4 linked regions of the Arabidopsis thaliana genome follow. The protein of the gene in region 3 interacts with the protein of the main gene of each other region in a pairwise test. Each region holds a gene or a part of one and is shown on either strand. Other genes may lie near its edges. The genes, in order: ELIP1, AT5G51160, AT4G12000 and AT5G67130.

Region 1 (4,640 bases), on a different chromosome or scaffold from region 3:
AATCCAATGAATCAATCAACACATTAACCCTAACCAAAATCCAATCCAATCCAATCAAAGATAGCAAATTTCCACAATCCCAACCAAACCCTAAATTGTCACATCCTTACAAAGATCAGATCAGGTCAAAATTAAGCATGAGAAACACCAATTTCACGATAAATCAAACATTGGGATTATCGAAGGAAACGTATCAAAGTTAAGAACTTTTGGGGTAAAAAGGTAAATTGAAAGATCGCTAACCGTGAAATCCAAACCAGGATGATCGGATCCCCAGAAGATATCATGATCGACGACGACGAAGTTACCGGAAACAGTGTCGCCTTCGTAAAGGACGTACTCTTGGACACATTCTTCGTCGTTCACCGTTACAGAGAGAGATGAGATTTGATTGATTGAATTCAATAGAATTAGACCTATCAATACAAAGACATGGATCTTCGCTTGTCGTCTCTCCATCTTTTTTTTTAGATCTTCTTCGATCAAAAAAATTCAGTTTGTTTTCTCGAGAGAATTCGCCGAGTAGAGGAAGAAGAAGAAGACAAAGAGGATTTTATTGCGACTTAGATTACCAAACCGGAAATTAAAACCGGTTTATGACGACACGGGGAGATTTTATTGGTCAACGGCTTTTGGTCATTAAAGAGAGTTAGAGAAAAATATTACTAATTTTAATGTAAGTAAAATACGATCTAAATTATGATTAAATTGATAAAATTTTACTTCAAAAAGTGTTTCAGTGATGTTTGTTTTTACAAAAAATTTTTGATTTTTGTATATATATTGGTTAATGACTTAATGTACGTTTTGGAAGTTTTTTTTATCTACGCCATTGATATGTGTTAAAAAGAATTGACTGTTATGTATGCATAATAATGTCAAGGTAGTTTTTATTTATTTGGTCAATAATGTCAAAGTACTTATATTCTAAGAAATCATTATTTCCGGGAACAAAATCTAAAGAATCATATGTTTTCTTCTTTGTGTTACCATGTAAAAGTGAATCCTTCCAAATTTCCTTAGGTTGAGAATGACAATTCTTCTTTCATATGTTATCAAAGACTAAAATGATCAGAATGTCAATTTGCAGATTTGGTCAACACTACATTAGAAACGAACATATATGAGCGAAAGACATGATTTGGTTAGGGAAGCTAGAGTTGATGGGCCTAATGAGCCCTATACGGCCCGTTATGAGATACGTATGACTGTAAGAGTAAATAGTCTTTTTTTTCTTAACAGTAAATAATCTTTATCTCCATTTAATTGTAAAGTTATTGACATTTTGAAACGACCGTAAATATTACCAAAAAACTGACGGAGTTAGGATCGGCCACGTAGAAAGGGACAAAGAGAGAACAGTCACGGACTCGGCCAGACTAAGTATGGGCCTGTCTGAATCCAAACTCAGCTAAGTTCCAAAAGCATAAAGAGAGATGTGTAATGAAATGAACGTATTCTAGAAACGAAAGCAATGTTATGCTTTGTTTTTGAGCCACATGTTTTTGGGAGATGGAGAGAATCTTTTTTACGTTTTTAACCTAACCCACTTGGCACTTGGCCAAAAAAGTGAGAAGAAACTGTGGCGAATGAGTAGGCCACGCCATGGACTTTGTTCCTTGTCCTTCAAAAGTTAAATTTATGTTATGCGTGGGGACAATCTAAGCAACGTGGTTCCTTTAAATATCGCAGCTTCCTCTTTTACACTTTTGGAGCCTACGTGTTTTGTTTTGGACCGGCCAAATACACGAGTCAGTCAGTTTAGAAATAATTTGGATGTCCAAAAATCTTGGAGATCCAAATAAAATAATTAGCATGTTTTAGTTCATAAGAATATGAAATGTAGATAAACTGTCCATATTAATTTTTCCATAGAATTGGCTTTTTATCGAGGTGATGTACTTAATGACTTTGTTGATTACTACTCGTATAACAATAAAGAATATGATACTATGTGAGACTTATAATGAATTTGGTGTGTGTTAATTAATCCAGTTGAAACAGTTTAATAACAAATCAGAATAAAAATTGTAGTAAGAAAATTTGAACGCTGATCCTTCAACCTAGATAGTGAACCTTTCAAATACTATATGATTCACGTGTAATGTTTTTGACCGTTGGTTATTTTTGTGTGAACTATATTAACTTATCAATATCGAAAGGCTAAATAAGTAAATAACTAAAAGAAAGTTCAGGAAACAACTCGACCTAATGACCTATCATTTCTGATCACCCGTCCTATAAATACATACGTAAGATCATTCGTTACTCATATCAAGCTTCTACACACGATCTAGCTTAAAGTTCTGTAACCTAAGCGATAATCACTTAGCTACTCCAAGTTTCTTCTTAATTTCTCTCACACTAGTAGTTCTAAGCTTTAGAAATGGCAACAGCATCGTTCAACATGCAATCAGTCTTCGCCGGTGGATTAACCACTCGCAAGATCAACACCAACAAGCTTTTCTCCGCCGGTAGCTTCCCTAACCTCAAGAGGAATTATCCGGTGGGAGTGAGATGCATGGCTGAGGTACGTTATTCTCCACTTCCCTGATACAACGGCCATTCATCATGTGACTATGAAATCCTGACCGTCTGATTATTTGACTTTTTCAGGGAGGACCCACGAATGAAGACTCTTCACCAGCACCATCTACCTCGGCCGCTCAGCCGTTGCCGAAGTCACCATCTCCTCCTCCTCCTATGAAACCTAAGGTATAATTTTAGAAGTTTTGATAAACAAGAATTTGTATTTTAATTAATCGGGTCTTAGATATTAAGAACATACAATCTTGAAAATTCATTAAACAAGCTTTATTTGTGAATCTTTGTTAATAACTTTTGGGGTGGTGAATATAGGTGAGCACAAAGTTTAGCGACTTGCTAGCGTTTAGCGGTCCAGCACCAGAGAGGATTAACGGACGTTTAGCGATGGTTGGATTCGTTGCGGCGTTGGCTGTCGAGCTATCCAAGGGTGAAAACGTTTTAGCTCAGATCTCCGACGGTGGCGTCTCATGGTTCCTCGGTACAACAGCGATCTTGACACTTGCGTCGCTTGTGCCGCTTTTCAAGGGCATAAGCGTTGAGTCCAAGTCCAAAGGTATCATGACGTCAGACGCTGAGCTTTGGAACGGACGTTTCGCGATGCTCGGTTTGGTCGCGTTGGCGTTCACTGAGTTCGTCAAAGGTGGGACACTCGTCTAAGGAAAAGAGAGCACGTTATGGGGAGGATGTTTTAATACGATTTTGCCCATGTAATTTCTCTGTAAAGTAATCTGTGTTAGGCCTACTGTGTGTTTTATACATGTGTACTAAGTGACATTTTGAAACTTCGGGTTAAAAACACTTTAAAATTAGTGGTGTTCTATAAAGCTCTACGCCTTCCAAAAACTTTCAGAAATTATAACCATACAATATGTGACTTACAAGGCCAAATTATATTAATGGCCTGTCATCATAATTGCGAACCTAACAAATAACAATACACGATTTCACCTACTATCGAGTTTTACATTTAATGCTCATCTTATAAAAAGAAAAAAAGAAAAAAAATGTTAAGAAAATTCACATCTTTCATTTGCCGACGAAACAAGTGGTGAGTGATCCACTATAGATGATATATAATTCGAACAAATGGTGGATTCAGAAAAGTCTTAGTTAAAAATAAAATCAATATCATTAAGCGTAACTACTAAAATAAAAATACACAAAATATCAAAGAATCTTCAAACTGAATGAATCTCAAATCTTAATGCTGGGGAAGATAATAAATTTACCAACTCTAATTGCCATTTGAATAGATCATATACCGATAGATCTTATATATGTTTAGACATCACTTAAATATCAAGCAAAAAAAAAATTAGTGTATGAAAATCTAAGAATATTTTATCCTGAATACATAAAAAAAAAGGTATATGTAAACACAAACATAATTTACGTTTGAAATAATAAAATACTTTTTCGGTCATCGGAAAAACAGTACATAGAGAGAGGACCAGTGGACAGTGATTAACATTTAAAAAGAAACGAGCATGCGTGAAGTAAAGTAAATGGGCCATATTCCAAATAATTGGGCCAATGGCTTCATTGGAGATCCCTCATTTCCTAAGTCCAGTTAGAAAATATTGATTCTTTACATGTATGCAGGGAAAATAGCTTCCATTGGTTTAGTTATGGATTGTTCTCTTTTGTATAACAATTCTCTTACTAAATGACTTAAGATTATTTTGTTTATACGTTTCACGTGAGATCATAAAAGAGTTTGTTATCAGTAGAATTTATAAGTAATCAAAAGAAAAGTGTGAATCTTATATGGGCAAAATTCAATAAAAAGCCTCTAAAAATGTTATCTAGCAATGAAGTGACTCAGTGAGTCATGAAAAAAAACAGCAGAGCACGTGTATACGCAAATCTTAAATCAACAGACAGAATTTACGTGACTCCCACTTACCAATGTCGTTTGCTTTCTTTTTTTCTTTTTGTCCATTCCTTCTTTCTGCTATTGTTTTTTTTTTTTTTCTTTTTCAAAGGATTTTATAAGTATATTAATAGATTCATGATCTAGTAGTGTATATAACTAGATTTTATTCTCTTAACTAGGTTAATTTATTCATATTTATTACTATTCTAAATGTATG
Region 2 (5,223 bases), on a different chromosome or scaffold from region 3:
TCGGCAAAAGCTTCAGTTGCAGAAGAGGTAAGATCATTTCTTGCCTACCATACTACCCAAATTACGATGGGGTTTGTGAATTGTTTTCCGTTCTGTTTTTGACAGATACTTGATAGATTTCAATAAGTGGGAAGTCTTTGTGAATGATGACCATACTCGCTCTTTCCTTTCTTTGGAAATCACTACTTCAGGACTATCCGAGGTATGTTGTACAACAAGAGTTAACCTTGAATGTTGGATTTTTGCATACTCAGTACCTTGTGTTAGATATTGTACTGATTATCATATCCTTAATTCAGATAAGTAAGCAAATTGATGCTGTTAATGAAGTTTACAAGCTCCACAATCTGCCGGAGTTCTACAAGGTCCACTTGCTTTTCTATATAGTACTTTACAGCTTGATTGTATTTTACTGTTTAGCCAATGAAAATCGTCATGGACACTTATCCCATCGAGTCTGCTTCAATTTTTCTTTTAGGATCCGCGGCCGCATATATCCTTGGTCTGGGCGTTGGGTGATATTAGAACTTCCCTAAAGGGAGCTGTTGACGTGGAACTTAGGAAGCTTAGAGCAGGTGGTTGTGTGCAGAATCGTATCTTCACCTCTAAGTTTTGTGGGATCGAGTGTAAGATAGGAAACAAAACACACAAAATATGTAAACTCCCAGATGAATAAGAAAATCTCAAATTTCTGTGTTTGCAGACCAATCAGGTATGCATTTGTAACGACATAGAAGGATGAGTTGATCTGTGTTCTTGGGTATTCCATAATATATGTCTCTTCATAGAAAAAAGTCTCCATATATCATAATATCACTCGTAATAACATTGGTGATTTCTGGACAATGCAACAACAAGTCCTTGTGATTTGAAATAAGGTAGATATTGAACTGGCTACTATTATGTTACAAAACGTTTACATGAAAGTGAAATCATGGAGCAAATTTTTTGTGACCTGGAGTCCAAGAAGTGAGCGAGCATACCAATAGGGTTCTCGAGCAACCTCATCAAACCCGGGGTGGTAGCAGCGAGGATGGATGTGATGAGAATGCAGTAAAGCTTGACATGATCAGGTGCAATGCTGGCCATGGTTGTGTTGTGCGAGAAATACATAGCAATCATACAGATCTGAAGCTGGAACCGCAATGGGAACCCGAGGGTGAGAATGTTGAGCATAGACAGTGAAACCGAAAACCCAATTGTGTTGAAGAACACAAACAAAGTGAAAGCAACTCCATTGAAGGTCCCCATGATAGATTGCCCTGCTGTATGAGCTTGTTGATTTGTAGTATTCACATTCGTTGTGTTCTGGGATACAGCAGGTATTGAGCTATCTTGCCAGGTTCCACCTGGTGGGGTCAAGCTGGCCTGAAACGTGGCTGTGGCGACTAGTGAAGCCACCACTAGTAATGCGCTACGTGCTTCTGATGGTGAGTCTCTGTGCTTTTTGAAAGTGAAGTACTTGACAAGTTCTTTATGGCTTTGGGACTTCATTGTTCTCTCTTGGCATGTGGAAGTAGAAGTGGTTCTCTCGACATTAGTAGTGCCAATGTCTCGCCCTCTCTGAGCTCCAGCTTCGATGAGTTTCTCATAGATTTCTCTATCGCCAGCTTCGCTCGGAAACATAACCAGCAAATCCATCGCTGATAGACCCATCTTGTTCATAGCATTCACCTCAAATGACCTTGATTCTTCTGGTATTGCCTGAACCAACACTTCAATCACCTGTAGGCAAAAGAAAAACAGAGTTTGATTCCACTGGAAGAAAACTATTTAACCGCAACTTAATTCGTCGTACCTGGCGATTTTTTCTCCAGGTTGCAAGATGAAGAGCAGTGTTACCCTGTTCATCTTTCTTATTCAACACATCAAATCGATTTGTCTCTGTGATCAACTCAACAATGGCTATGACTGCTTCGATCTCTAGGTGCAGAACAGCAAGATGCAAAGCAGTTTGACCTTGTACGGTCTCGTCTTCTAAACAATCAACACAGCTCGCTACAATCTCTCTGATCACATCGATTTTCCCTCTCATCGTTGCCACATGTAGAGGAGTCTTTCCATCTCTATCTTTTAAGCGGCAAAGCTTCTTTTCAACCCCCAAAGTTGCCCTCACAGTCTCTACTTGTCCGGCTGCCGCAGCTGCATGAAGAGGGCTAAACCCGTTTTTGTCCAAGTCAAAGACTGACCGCTGCCTGAGAATCTTTCCGGCGACGACATACTCTTCACTCCTTGGGTTGAAGGAGTTATAGAGAGGATCAGAGACGATCTCCTTCGGTAAATGAGTCTCAAAAGCATCCATTTTGGTGATGATGCAGAAGAAAGAGAGAGAGAAGATCGAGTTGAATATACAATGAAGGTGTGTACCATCACGACGCTTGTTTGAAATTTTCTATTACAAAACTCCCTTTGACATTTGACTTTGTAGCATATGAAGTATTCCTTAAAGTGGAACAAATGCTTACAAGTGTCAGTTGTTTGCATTACTTTATCTTTTGATTTTCTGACCCTGAGATCATCGTATGTGCAAATTCATATCCGCTCCGACCAATACAGATGAAATTTCAACAATTTGAGTAATACAATAGTTTTTGGGTATGAGAGTCAAATCTTAGACGAATTGACTTTTTTTCCATCGGTTGAGAGAACTTGCATTAGGAAACTAAACAAAACTGTGTTTTTCTTGAAGTGAGTTTTTAAGCAATAGATCAAGATTATAACAAGACAAAAAGGAATATATCTAGTGATCTGTTTCAAGTTTCAACACTGTGTTGGTGTTAACAAATCAAGACAGCTTGACTCGCTTGCCATAAATCTTCTTCATTCTGCTACTTCTCATTGAAATAAAGAAGAGACAGTGGAGTTGTTGTTATTACGTGAAAGAAAATAAAAAACAGGCTCCTAAATCCTATGAATCACTTCAATCTCTTAAGTTTTCTGTGTGGAGGAACCCTTTCTTTCTGGAAAGTTTCACATTAACTTCCTGAAACACAATCAAAATCATGATTCCGTAAAGGGTCCTTTTTGGTTTGCTCAATTTCAACGTCAGGTGCTAATATAGTATCAGACAGCTTCTGCTTATACTTCTAAAGACCGGGAATTGCTTCCAAGTTATACTTTTCTTCGGCTTTCGGAGTTTCGCCTTCTCGGCTCTCCTGCGTTTTCGGTTTCTTCAATGCATCTAGGGTCTGGAGATAAGAATAGGACGAACTATGAGGGTATTTGCTGCTAGGATTGCTTATTTGGCTAGCAAGAAACCGACGGATGAGTCCCCTCAGAAACGGAGCCATTGTATCAGGTTCATATTCGAGGTAGTACATTATTCCTCCCATGCATCCACAGAATAAAGCCACCTGTTTCCATTAATTGTATAAAACATCAGTTCCATTGCTCAAAGGGGAAGAAAGTTGGAAATAACAAAAGTGGTTTGTAATTGTATTGTACCTCAGCATTTTTAATGTCGGGAAGAAGGTGGCGATTAACAAGTATCTCCCACAGAGAATCTCCTGCTCGGGGAAGAACATATAGAGCAAGCTCAGAGCGTCTCGGTTTCTTCTCCAGCATAACTGAGAGGGCTGCTGCACCACCCGCAAACCAATAAACGAGCTTGTGGTCTTTGGTTGCAACTTTTCTATGGGCACATATGAAAGCCTAATGCAAATGGGATGAAGGCACATACATTTGGGAATGGTTTTAGGAAACTATGTGAATTGTATGAAATGAGGGGACACAAATCAAATGTAAAAACCAGCTACCTGAAAAATCCCAACAAAAGCAGACAAGAAGGACGTCGATCTAACTGAATCTCTGATTGCAAGCCAAGATGTCCGGTAAGGAGAAGCCATGAACTGAAATGAAAGTGTAGGATGGCATCAGAAACTACATATCATGTCTGACTAATGCATAAACCATAGGAATCTAAAAGACTGAAACGGCAAATATTGAGGGACAGTCTTACTTTTTGTAGGTGTAGAACAACATATGGGACAAAAGTCAGGGAGAAATATAATGGAAATGTTTTCTTGAATGTAGCTGACATTGCATTAGCATTTTGGGCCAGACACGAGTTAGTGTTTGGATGAATAGCTGCACAGGGAATGATGGAAGCAAACTCTTCCACCTTCACGTCGCTTGCTTCGTTTTTACTAGAAATATAGGCTGACAAGGAGGCTACATCAATTGGACCACCTCTGCAGCACTCTCTTACAGCTTGGTAGACAGGCCTTGCAACTGGACCAGTCTTCTGAATAAATTCTCTATATGATTTTGGCAAGGTTTCAGGACGCATTATAAAGGAATACATAACCTGCACCGACCTCATTGCAACAAAATTAGCTTGCTGACCATAATCACTACCAAATCACATTGGAGAGAATACGTATGGTACACAAAAATGTCTTTCAACGTCTATACTATCTCCATTACTAACTAGAACAGGAAGAAAAGAGAAGAATCTCAAATACCTGAGCACATGCAAGAGAAAAAAGTAACGAATCTCCATGTCTCCAATGGCTACCCCAAAGATGGAACTTGTTCTTTGACTTAGCGGAATTATAAGCCGCCTATTAATAAGAGAAAAAATCAGACTCCGAAAAAAACATCTGTGTGGTGATATTACTCTGTACGACAGACAATACTATGACCATTAGATGTACCTGGCCTAATCTAGCCAAGAGGTATAGAGCAAGTGTGCGACGCTGGTTGGAATCATCTAAAGCCAAGATAGACAAACCCGCAACTGAACCTGCTAAGACTCTGCTCCACCCTTAATCAAAGTCATAATAAGGAATATACTTTTCAAGCACTATGCACAAAGTAAAAAGTAGAAGCATTATAAGAAAAGAGATACAACAATCGAAATCTTAGGCAACACAAATAAATAAAATAAACTTACGAATTCAATGGCGTCTCTTTCTTTCTCCACTTCCTCAAACAGCATCTAAGGGCATGATACGAGCCAGTAAAGCCACCAAAAAGTAGACCAATACGACATGCTTCCTCCCTAACTATCAAATCTTTCTCTGAAACAAGTTGCTGCAACCATTGTTCACGTGTGAGTGAATCGCATATACAATGATAAGTCAATAACACATTGGCCATAGTTTCAAAACAACCGTATCAAATGGAACACTAAAGCAGAGACTCGTAAGACTCTAAATCTCCAGAAATTGCCACAAAAACAAATTCCAATTCATCAATTCCTCACCTTAAGATCGAGAAGAG
Region 3 (6,082 bases):
CTTATATACTACTCAAATCATTTTTCATTTTTTTAACTTTCTAATGTGAGATCTTTTTTTACGGTGTATGGTTTACACTGTTATTTAAAATTTAACGAAATATTTTGTTATTTGGTGTCCACCCAAATATCCTAATTAAAGCCTAAAACTTTTAAGACATTGAATGTAATGTGTAACATTTAAAATCTCTTGAATGTGTAACTGAATTTGAAAGTCATTTTCCTATAGAAAAGCATGTGTTTCACCAGATGACAAATTACCATTAATGAGCAATGGATTTTATTCGCATGAAAAAGACACATAGATAGACTGTTGAAAGTGGTACCGAGTCAGAAGCATATATAGTTTAATTCAAACCAGAATATTCAGAAAATGCAAACTACATTAAGTCTTGACATGTAACTTTTTTACTGCTGATTGAATACACATACTTTAATCTAAAAGAAATATTTAGAGAATAAGACAAATATTTAATTTTGTGGTTCATAGGTAGGACAAAATGTAAATGGCTTTACATATACTTTTAGACAAAAGTGTTTCAAAGGATATTGGGTTTTGGACCAAAAGCATTTTTGAAGGGAATTAAGACAACATTTATTTCGGGATGAGAGTAGTTGAACATATTTGTTGTGTTATAGGACTTAGGAGAGCTTCAAATGCACCAGTATAAAAATAAAAAAAAATAAAAAAACTGAATCAATTATTGATCGATTCTTGTAAGTATATCTTTAAAATTTGAAAAAGCTTATGTAGAAAATTGGTTTATATTTAGCTTCATATTTTAGAATTATATATATTTCACATAAAGTTATTTCAATTCCACTTTGTATCTTATGCAAGAGACAAATGACTCGCAGAAGCACTTCATTTTCTAGTGTGAATTTTCAAGCAGAATATAGATGTCCAAATCCGATACTAGAAAAACCGCAGCTTCAAATCCCCAAGAACTCTCCATATAGTTCTTCTCCTCTTATCTCTCGCACTCTTCACTTGGGCAGATTCACACTGGTTTCACAAACCGCAAAAAAAAAAAAATGGTAATTAAAACAGTCTTTGATTAATTTTAGTAGAAATCCATTTAACAAAAGATTCGATTTGGTCTAGAATAACTCCATTATTTCAAATTGAAAAAATATAGATCATACATATTGTGATGAATCATAGCTAAGGTTTCTTCTTCAATTCCACCATTTAATATGTCGAACGCATAGCAATGTCGTACTCGTAGGCTACAAATAACTCTTGACCATTATAGTTCGAAAAAGAGACGCATTTGATTTTGATAGAAACAATTAAATGGCCATCTAAGCTATATTGGGCTTTTTCTCAATGCAGCCCATAATATTCGAAGTGCAAGTTTTCACTAGTCACCTACGAATATCTGACACAACACTTGCACTATTTACCAATTAGACAATTTCCAATCTTCATAGTTAGTTCATACTTACTAGAGAATATAAACGAGAAAACGAAGGAGGAGTAATGATCTTAAGTTTTCAATTGATCCATTCTTTTCAAACATCAAAAAACAAAAGATTGAGAAAACGCAAATAAGATTAAATCGTGTTAGAGAGTTTAGTTAGTGTTTATATAGTCATTATAATTTCTTTTATACCCTTTCATTTCTCGGCTATAAACAAACCAAAACAGAGACCAAAAATCAAGAGTTCTTTCACATCATGGACGAAAACCTGTACTTTGGGAATAAGCAGAGACATAACTTCTGAGGTTGTTGTCTCCATTACTGTAACAACAAAGCTTCCTTCTCCTTCTTCATAACTTCAAGCTGTCTTTTCGCATACTTAGTGATGAGAACAGTTGTCACAACAGTTGCTACAAAACCAAAAATGTTGAGAACAATTTGAAGAATCGAGAGACCCTTTTGTTCCGCAGTGGATGCATCTGCCAATGTCCTTATAAGAATCCCTCTGCAAACACCAAAACAAACAAAAATACTATCAGGATGCTAAATCAATCATTCATTCATTACCAAGAAAATTGTAAGTCATTTCCACACTTACGTATAAATTGCGACAAAAATCTCCGGCGCCATGCCTACGAGAGAACCAGCCATGTAAGGACCGAACTTCACACGAGTTGCAACAGCGCAGTAATTATATACAGCAAAAGGAAATGGAGAAATCCGGATTAAGGTAACTGCACGAAACTGATGAAACCAACTGCCTCCACCAGCAGCTCTCAACATTGCAGCTTGATCTGGATATCTTTCTAACCAACCCTGCAACATTCATCAATTTCAGCAACATACAAAGTAGTCGTTACTAAGAATATAACTGGTTCTTAAGCGAGACACATACTTGAATTTTGTTGAGGAAGAGATAGCTGATGAAGTAAGGAAGTGAAACACCAATAGCTACAGCTGGAAGAGTAAGGAGAAGGCCATAGAAATAACCAAATGTAATCCCAGCCACCCACATTGACGGCGTAGTTGGAATAAGTATCACAGGGAATAAAGAGACTGATGCAAACACAAGAATACCGCACACAGGGTGTGTAAATGTCTCCATCTCCCATTTTATGAGTGGGATTAGCTCCTGCAAACAAAAGTTAAATGGATAATCCCATAATCAGCAACAGAGCCAAATATGTCACTGACTGAATTTGTCACCAGCATCGAAAATCTACCGATTTTAGACACAGAACATCAACAACGAAACCTCACTTTGGTTATTGGATACTGAGCTAATCGTAGGGATACATAGTTTCAATTCACATGAACCAAAATCATAAAGGAACCTCTTTTATACACTAAGGATCTAATTCAGTAGTTGAAACTATAATCAAACCCAATAGATAAAGAAGAAGACTTTCAGAAGAAGATCAATTCAACAAGAAATCATTGGAGGAAATTGAAAACCTTATCCATGATTAAAGGGTATAGCCATTTGTAACCAGCGAGACCCAAAGCAGTTAGAAAAGTGAAGAAAAGACCAAGCTTGATCCAAAACCAAACAGATCGTTTCTGTCCACATGAAGAAGAAGAAGACGGTGATGATGAAGATTCTTGTTCTGTTTCTTGTCGATGTACTTCGAAATCTTCAGTAAGTTTAACATAATGACCTAATTTATCAACTCCATCTTCTTCAACTCTAACTCGAAATTCAGAAACTGTATCGTCTTCTTCGTGATAAGTCATCGAGTAGAAAAAAAGAGAGCGCTAGATTAGTAATCGACTGGATTCTCCGATCGGATTCAGAGAGAAAAACCCAGTGATGGAAAAATTGAATGACTCAACGAATCGAAAGAAACCTGGGGATGAAGGAAGGATTGAGAATAACAAATAAAGAAGATTTGTGTGATTTTGGAGAAAGATGAGTTTTTTTCTTTTTTCGGTTTGTTTGTTAATGTCATGGCTTGACGCATGTACCCATTCTTTTAAATTATTTTCTTATTACTTTATGATTTCTTCCGTCGTTACTTGCATTTTTTTATATTTTTTATTCAGTTTACCAAAAATTCTAGGAAATATAAAATAGTTATTTCACGGTTGACGAAAAATAATAAAATATGTAGTTTGAAAACACCTGGACCATGTCGGCATAAAAGCGTGTGGATATTGTTAGAAAGAAAAAAAATAATAATTTAAGGCCCCTACCAAATTTTACATTGTAAGATTTTAAGGTCTCAAAATAATTAGGGACAAATATTTTGGTGTAGTTGTAAAATTTGTTTTGATTGGGAGGTGTATATTATAAAACCAGATTTTAAATCCGTAATATACCGCATGATAATTTTTTTTTCTAATATATATATATATATATAAAATATAAAATTTTAAATTATTTATCTTTATATAATATTTTTTTTGTTTTGTTTACGATTGTTATTAAGTAACATATACCACGAATTTAAGAACAATAATTAAAACTTGAGGATTTAATTCGTATTAAACCAGCATATTACTGATATTTTAAAAATTTATAAATATTGATTCAAACTCATCTACTATAATCCGTTCCACAATATAAACCGTCTTGTAATCTCTTAACTCATCTCATGTAATATTTAATAAAAATATTAAAATTAAAAATTATTTATTATATATAAGTTTTTAAATTATATCATTTTCTGAGATATTTATATTTTATAATTTAATTGTTACTAAAAACATTATATTACTATATATATTTTATTTTATATAATTTTTGTAAATCAGACTGATTTATATGTATAATATTGATAGTATCAAAAAATAATAAATTTAAAACTTAAACTATATTAAAACAATATATTAATGATATTTTAATTTTTTTATTAATATTATTTTTAAAATTCGTTCCGTTAAATTTGTCTCGATAAGAATTTATTTATTTTATTAATATTAATATTAATCTGAATTACTATTTAAATATTATAGTTAATGTAAAATATTAAATACATATATTTTTAAATTGAATAATATATGTTGGTTTCTTACTAGGCATTACTAGACATTCATCAACGAAGTGAGATGGTGGCCATACACGTGGCCACAAATAAGGAGGTTAGCTTGTCGCGGGTTTCCCACTTTTTGAGCTTTTATTTTAATTTTATTATACGTGTTTAATTTCACCGACCAATAATCCACTGTGGTCGACATTCCGTATTCTCCGTGGACCCGGTTTTCGCAATTTCCCAATTTCCTCAATTTCGATTTGTCTTTGTCACCACAATCTGACGACGCCATCGCCGCAATGCCTTCCACCACCGAAACGGCAACATTTCCGATATCTTTCCCGCGAGCTACTTTTCTACTGTTCCGAGATCGAATTTTCTTCTTCTCGACTCGTCACAAAAACGCCTATTCTCACTTTCACCGCTCTTGGATTTTAATGGATATCTCTTGAAACCTCTCCGGCCATCTTCTCTTCGGCCATACTCTGAAATTTGGATTCCAAATTTATCAAAATTATAAATTTGATGGAAAAAAACGTGAAACAAGATTCACAAAGTTTCAGAATCCACGAGGTTGGTTGATCCAAGCAATCTGTTTTTCTTCTTTCTCCTGAGATTAAAGTGTTTGTTTAGAAATTGACTGTGCTTTGACATGTTACATCATTTTCTCCAGTATATGTTTAATCTTTGAAAATTGGTTTGGTATGAAGTTTCAGGTGACATTATGCCGTTTGAGATTTACATGTGAGGTTTATGCAACCATACAATGCACTCTGAGTGATTTGACAACCGTGGTAAGTGCTCTCTTAACTTCTATGTATGTGTGTAGTTCTAGCTCCATATGTGGAATCGACATTTCGAAATTAGCTTATAGCTCCAAAGTTCGGTTCTTTCTAGCTGCATAATGAAAGCCAAGATATTCATTCACAAGTTTAAAGTTCTAAGATCATCTTTGTTTTCTTGTTGTCATTGTTGATCTTTAATAGATATACGGTTCTTGAATATATGGATGCACATAATGATTACCTGATTATTTTAGTAGCTGTCCATAGTTTAAATCAGTATTGCACATTCTCTCTTTTTCTGTTAATGGTGATGTGTACTGACATTTAATAAAACAAAATTTTTGACATAACTTAAGATTCTATCTCACTGTGATCTTCTCCTCCTTCCTTCTCTTACAACCTGGTTCTTCACCACCAACAAACTGGCAAAGTCCTCTCTTGGGTCTAACGTCATCCATAACATCATCAAGATCGTAGGAACAACTTGGTCCGCTCTTCAAACTCAGCTGAACTATATTTGTCTTCTTTAGCAACATACAATCATCATCTTCAGGAACATACATTAAACTCATCCCACATTTTATCACTTCACAAGTTTCTATCTTCTTCCTTGTTTCATCATCTGTCACATAGAATTCGAACGAAGCCTTTGTGTAGCAACAGCTGTTACTCTCTCCATGGACATTTTTGACGAGAAAACAACTGTTGTATCCCATGAAAACGTGGTCAGAAGTGAGCTTTCTTGATTCATGGCTAAGGGATCCACATGGTTCGTTCCAGCCTGCGAGAGTGAAATCAAATCTCGTGAAGGAACTGTCTTTGTTCTCGAAGTTGCCACAACACTTTACCGAGAAACGTTTCGCACTGTCTTCATAGTCCTTGAATGAGACAACTACAGATAA
Region 4 (5,958 bases), on a different chromosome or scaffold from region 3:
AAGTTTGATCCTCTCTTTTTTTGATTAAATAAATCATTGTTGTGAGATTGAAGTTTTTGGTGAATTTTGGGGTTTTTAGGGCAAGTGGTGTTTGCAAGAAATGGAGAAAAGCTGTAAATCAATCGATGGCGAGAAGAGAAACTCTGAGCTTTGCTGGTTGGAAAATGGACGATGATTCCACTTCTCGTCTCGTTCATCTTGCTTTCAACCTCAAAGAACTCGACATGTAATCTCTCTCTCTTTCTCTCTGTTTTGCTCTTTGTTTGTTTCTTGTACTATGATCGTACTTGATTTGTCCTTCAATGGCGGATTAAGAGTAAACAAGATTGGTGGGATAGTGGAGATTTGCTGAATTTTTTGGTCAAGTTTCCAACTTTACCTTTAGGGTGTTTGAGATAGGATATTGACTTGGTCAAAAAACAGAACAGAACTATAAACTCTGTTTTTTTCTTCTTTCATATTTGAAGATCTCGAAGCAGATGGGGTTGTCATATAACTGATAATGGTCTTTACCAAATAGCTTCTGCAAGATGTGTATCCAATTTAAACTCTGTCTCTTTATGGGGCATGACCGCCATTACTGATTCTGGTGTTGTTCAACTGGTAAAATCTAACACCGTTTTTTGTGCACTGGAATCTTGAAGATTCCTTTTTTGTTTTAATCATTTCAGAGAATCTTGATTTTGATTTGACAGATTTCAAGAACTTCCTCACTGCAACACCTAAACATAGGAGGAACATTTATAACCGATGAGTCTCTTTTCGCAATTGCAGAACGCTGCCATCAGCTTAAGGTAACAACAATCATCTAACCAAATAATTCTCTCTAGATTCATGAGAATCACGCTTTCGAAATTGGAATCCTTTATGCAGACAATCGGAATGTGGTGTTGCCGTCATGTGACAGAGAGAGGCCTTCTTGTTCTTGTAAACAAATGCAGAAAACTCGAATCCATCAACTTATGGGGAACTAGAGTTCCTGTAGATTGCTTCATTGCTTTACTTACCATCAGTCCTGCTCTTCAGATCAAACCCATGGAATTGCTTCTCAATGCTCAGAATCCACCACCGTTGCTGCATGCTGTCTAGTGTTGCTCATCATATTTCTTGTTTGTTGTGTACATAGTAATTCATACAATTGAATCTGCATATATCTTATGTGTTCTCTCATCAATCAACAACATATATATATAAATATTCAGTAAAGTTTCTATTGGAGTAGAATTGTGTCTATATATATATATATATAAGTTGCATAACAATCAACAGAAGCTGAAGACACACATACACAAGATTTCTGCCTATAGCTCTGCAGTCTACAATACAAGAATCAAATCAGAAACTCTTTCTAAGGCAATTCATGTCAACTTAGGCTCTCTCATTCGTTCTAAAGAAGTGATCAAGATTCTCTAACCTAAGAATCTCTCCACGTGGTTTGATTGGTTGTGTCATAGTAGAAATATCAGCAACGGAAGCAATGAGAAGCAGAAGACAACAATGTTGTTTAGTTGGGCCACAGAAGCTAAAGATCTTGAGAACTGAACTGAACCTGAGTAGCTTCCACCTGAGTTGCTTCCAGCCGTTGAATCCATGCTTGGAGTTCTTGTCTGTACAGTAACATTTTTGCATGAACCATAAGCTGCTCCTGGCTGCAACATCAAGAACCAAAATACGGGTGCCGGTTTTAGATAATTTAGGCTTGTAAGATCTTATTTCATACCCATAAGTAACTTTGGCGCGAGTTAATAAGTTAATACCTGGCAAGCAGAAAGAGTTTCACAACCGCAAAGTACCGGTCCATTCATTCTATCCAGAATTTCGAAAACGCCGCCTCCATCACTTCTCTGCAATATTATGGTTTGTTAGCTAGATCTCGTAAAAACAGTCATATTATAGTTATATGATTGATTCAGTACCATGTAGAAGTTAACAGCAAGAAAGTTTGGCATTCTATTCCCTCCTGACTTGAGACAAGTCCCAACCATCTCAGCAAGTGGAGCTGAGTGCTCCTTGCAAGCGTCTTTCTCAACCGGATATGTCGGGAAGTAATTCATCAAGAATAGCGAAGAACTTTTTGAATTTAAAGGTTGAGACTCTTTTCTGTTAGGACAAGAACCTCGCTTCACTCCGGGATCCCCAGCTTTAGACAATCATAAGAAAATGGCAAGAGAAGGTTATTCTCAGAGACAATTTTCATTAAAGATATAAACTGTGTGTAATACGCACATTCATTTTCAACCATGTATCTCCACTGATACGCAACGCCTTCTTCATCTTCTTTGGCAGCAACAGAAGTGAAAACCAGGAGCCTATGATTCTCTTGCACCATGTCAGTCACAGTAGGCCAATCTTCTCCCTTTCTAGGCATTTTCGAAACAGGGAACCAGTATTTGTCCAAACCAGCGTTGGCAAACAGTGTTGATAAGCCTTTAGGTCTGTGCACATAATCCTCTATTATGATGGTAACAATCTCTGTTGGGTTTTGACTCAGAAATGCCTCAACTTCCCTCAGTATGTTAATTGCAGGTTGCTGATTCAAAAAGAAAACAAAGTTCACATTTACCAATCCAATCAGGTTTCAAGCTTTCGATCCAGCAAGGTTAAGCTGAAGATAAAACTTACAAAAGCGGTGAAGTTGAAACATTGCCCTCGAAGCGAATGGCAAAGCCAGATATCATTGTTGAAGTCATACATATCCAGCATTAGCCCTCTAACTCCATTCTAGAACAAAAATATACATTCAAGAGTTTTATCCAAAAAAAGAGGAAACTATAATAAGAGAGTTGGTAATAAGAGCATTACTTGTAGCTGATTAGTAATAGTATCTTCTTGATTGTAAAATGTAATCCTCTCAACACCTGGCAAAAGTGGTGCATTTGCATTGCTAAAGGCATTATGAGTCATCAACCATGTATACTTGTTAAAAGGCAATCCATTGATCTACAAAAAACACACACACAAATTTCATCACCACATCTTCAAAGTTCAAAACTTTTGATACAACCAAATGATCTAGACTATCTTTTAATGCAACCAAATGAAATCTTCAGCAAAACCCATCTTCAAAGTTCAAAACTTTTGATAGACCAAGTGATCTAGACTATCTTTTGAAACAACGCATCTTCAAAAATTGGAAACTCTAGAGAAATCCAACTAATTATAGGAACTAAATCTCACAATGGAAGTTGGACTTGTGGCTTGGCCTCTTGTGCAGACGGGTTTACTTCTTCCAACGGCAGGACAGTCTCCACAGTATAAACCAGAGACACAATCAGTAGCCGAGGAGCATGAATCCAGCAGCTGAAAGAGACACAAAAATGCAAAATCCCTAAAGATTTAGACCCAAATTTGATAGCCATAAACCAGAGAATAATAAGCAAAGAGAATCAAGAACCTGGCAATTTCCATTGGAGCAAGCTGAGGAAAAAGAGAAAGAAAGAAGAAGAAGAAGAAGAGAGACAGTCACGGCTCTGCATAAGCCATTGATGCACGCCGACATCGCTCCGTAGCTTATGCAGAGATAGAGAGAGAGATATGAATGATGTTGGATCTACTTGGGGGGGTTTTCAAAGACGAGACAAAGAGATGTTTAGGTACTAAAACCCGGGCTTCATCGATTTGTTTTGTTAATCCTTGAAAGAGAGGTACAAAAGAAAAAGATTAGCTTTGGTTTTCTTTTTCTAAGACAAGGTTGAATCTTTTTCCCACCTAGCTCCTAGAGAGAAAATGAAGAAACGATTAGTAAAGAAGATAAACCACCTTTCAAAAGGAGTTCAATTTTGAGCATAATACAGTTTAACATTATAATAACATAACTCAAAACTACAGTTTCTAGTCTTGTACACCAAACATATGGAGTGACATTTTTGTCAAGATTTATGGAAACAGTGATCTTGTAAGAGTTTATCAATATAAGTAATAATGGTTTTATATTATTTCTTCTAGTTGTTAGGTGAGGTCTATCATAAAAAAAAAAAAAATTATTTCACAGATCACTATTTTCATTCTCTAAAATTTGCTCAGTTATAAGATTTTTTCACCTATTATTAGATGAAGATATCTTTTTTCTATTATGGTTAACGGTGCTCACATGCGTGGGGACACTCTTGTCTTGTTGCTTGTCTCTTTGCTTCTTTCAATGAAAAATGTTACAATTTTCATCATCTTACAAAAATTACTCAAACATCTAGGTGAAATTTTATTCTTAACGAGATTTATCATACCATGCCTATTTCATCTGCAGATTCGTCAGCAAGTGACGTATCGAATTAGTGACACTCTTAACGATCAAATGATTAATTTCCATTAAACCAAAAAAAAAAATGATTGATTTCCATAACCGATTTATTCACAATTGGTGATTTAACACACAAGTTGCTGTAATATACTCTTGATGTGTTTTTAACTTGAGATTTTTTTTTTAATACACAAAAAAAAAAAAAAACTTTTGTAGTTTGGACATTTACGTCCATTGAGTATGACGTCGTCGTCGTGTAAATTCTCTCTCTGCCTCTCGCTATAACGCTAGGCCCATTTACGTATTTTACTGAGCCTTTTTAGTTGGACCCAAACTCTCTCTTTTTAAGCCCATGACCCAAGTAATGTAATTAATCATCTTGTGAACTTGTAAATGAGGAAAACAAGATGCATATCTCCGGTTTAAAAAGCGTTTTAATGACGTTGAAAGCAAATATACAAAGCCAAAACATAAAATTTCCTTCCTTTTTTTGTTGAAAGCAACATTTATTATTTTTTGTACTTATTCACTCTAAAATGATATTTTTCCATTGAAGAAAATTCAATAAAGAAATGTTTTTCTATAAAAAACCAATTCAACTGTATTAGAGCTATAATTAAAACAGAATCCTTATTTTCAATAAAATAAATCTTCCGAATCCAGCTAAAGTTCCATTTTTATTAGCTGTCACAATTTTTTTAATTGAATTTTTAACATTTTGGGACTTCAAACTACCCAACAATTGTAAATCAGTGGTCTTTTTCTCCTTGAACTTTTTTTTGGTATAAACCTTTTTTCCTTAAAGTTGCTAAATCCTTTTATCCATGGAGGCACTGAAAAGTGGGTTATATGCATTATTTATCGTTTAAGCCTTAATTTGGTATATATATTTTTCCTTTAACTGAGCTACAATATATTTAGTGGTTTTTCTTTGTTCATAACGTCTTTATTTTTTCTATTACTTTATCAATATTAAGACTATCCTGTCCACTCAAGTATTTGCATTTGAATGGAAGAGTTAAATGGTGATGATACTTGAAAGTGTTAATTATCTATATAAATTCAGCTTAATCTAGCCCCTTGAAAAAAAATTTTGAGTCAGGTAATATGTTTCTCCAAAAGTATGGATCCAAACGAAGACAATTCTGAGATACCGGATAGTCCTTTTAGCTTCATGTGGCTACTATTTGGAGACGACTGGGATCTATGGGACACTTACTCACCAGTTGATGCTGATGACATCTCACCAGATCCAACGCTTGATGTGAACGGTGATGGTCCGGCAATAGAGCCCGGTTCCCTTCTGAGGACAATTAGTTGGGTAATTATCTATTATCTAATGTTTTTTTTAAGAGAAATAATTTATTTGGATATAATATAGACATGAAAATTGTTTAGGAAACAACGTTCGAGCAGGACTCGTTACAATCATGGAACGATGAACAATCTGAAACAACATCAGTAGTAGAGTATACAGATGTATCTTCTCATGGAAACACCTTCACTAACGAGGTATAGTATAAATCTAGACTAGATTAACTTTTGATATGCAAATCTCTTAGCATTTCAAATATATTTCAAGAGTTTATGAATCAATATTGGAGGAAATAAGATCCAATATTATTGACATTTGAAAGAAAAAAAAAAAGGATTTTGATTTGTTTTGACATTCCGTGATTTTACGTAATCATTTCCCTCGTATCTTGTTTGGTTTTAAATTT

What was found.
Region 1: the proteins of AT4G12000 (region 3) and ELIP1 interact in a protein complementation assay, tested with the Arabidopsis thaliana proteins (one large-scale study listed by BioGRID).
Region 2: the proteins of AT4G12000 (region 3) and AT5G51160 interact in a protein complementation assay, tested with the Arabidopsis thaliana proteins (one large-scale study listed by BioGRID).
Region 4: the proteins of AT4G12000 (region 3) and AT5G67130 interact in a protein complementation assay, tested with the Arabidopsis thaliana proteins (one large-scale study listed by BioGRID).

What each region holds. Positions count from the first base shown.
Region 1 is NC_003074.8:8,083,192-8,087,831, reverse strand, and holds ELIP1 (Chlorophyll A-B binding family protein), read left to right. Parts: upstream 1-2,162; 5' UTR 2,163-2,386; coding exon 2,387-2,530; intron 2,531-2,616; coding exon 2,617-2,715; intron 2,716-2,859; coding exon 2,860-3,204; 3' UTR 3,205-3,427; downstream 3,428-4,640. Other genes in the region: AT3G22845 (emp24/gp25L/p24 family/GOLD family protein), read right to left, coding at 244-459. UniProt on the Arabidopsis thaliana protein: Prevents excess accumulation of free chlorophyll by inhibiting the entire chlorophyll biosynthesis pathway (e.g. 5-aminolevulinate synthesis and Mg-protoporphyrin IX chelatase activity), and hence prevent photooxidative stress.
Region 2 is NC_003076.8:20,789,359-20,794,581, reverse strand, and holds AT5G51160 (Ankyrin repeat family protein), read right to left. Parts: upstream 2,510-5,223; 5' UTR 2,303-2,509; coding exon 1,799-2,302; intron 1,726-1,798; coding exon 901-1,725; 3' UTR 741-900; downstream 1-740. Other genes in the region: AT5G51170 (U6 snRNA phosphodiesterase-like protein), read left to right, coding at 1-27, 106-202, 300-365, 479-676; AT5G51150 (Mitochondrial import inner membrane translocase subunit Tim17/Tim22/Tim23 family protein), read right to left, coding at 3,087-3,353, 3,445-3,651, 3,756-3,848, 3,959-4,306, 4,464-4,562, 4,656-4,755, 4,895-5,034, 5,207-5,223.
Region 3 is NC_003075.7:7,191,786-7,197,867, forward strand, and holds AT4G12000 (SNARE associated Golgi protein family), read right to left. Parts: upstream 3,432-6,082; 5' UTR 3,158-3,431; coding exon 2,879-3,157; intron 2,556-2,878; coding exon 2,319-2,555; intron 2,240-2,318; coding exon 2,022-2,239; intron 1,929-2,021; coding exon 1,742-1,928; 3' UTR 748-1,741; downstream 1-747. Other genes in the region: AT4G12005 (uncharacterized protein), read left to right, coding at 4,921-4,968, 5,106-5,300; AT4G12010 (Disease resistance protein (TIR-NBS-LRR class) family), read right to left, coding at 5,540-6,082.
Region 4 is NC_003076.8:26,789,140-26,795,097, reverse strand, and holds AT5G67130 (PLC-like phosphodiesterases superfamily protein), read right to left. Parts: upstream 3,800-5,958; 5' UTR 3,500-3,799; coding exon 3,395-3,499; intron 3,301-3,394; coding exon 3,178-3,300; intron 2,941-3,177; coding exon 2,803-2,940; intron 2,722-2,802; coding exon 2,623-2,721; intron 2,531-2,622; coding exon 2,227-2,530; intron 2,141-2,226; coding exon 1,917-2,140; intron 1,845-1,916; coding exon 1,758-1,844; intron 1,650-1,757; coding exon 1,449-1,649; 3' UTR 1,216-1,448; downstream 1-1,215. Other genes in the region: AT5G67140 (F-box/RNI-like superfamily protein), read left to right, coding at 80-226, 468-603, 696-794, 874-1,089; AT5G67120 (RING/U-box superfamily protein), read left to right, coding at 5,361-5,558, 5,636-5,749.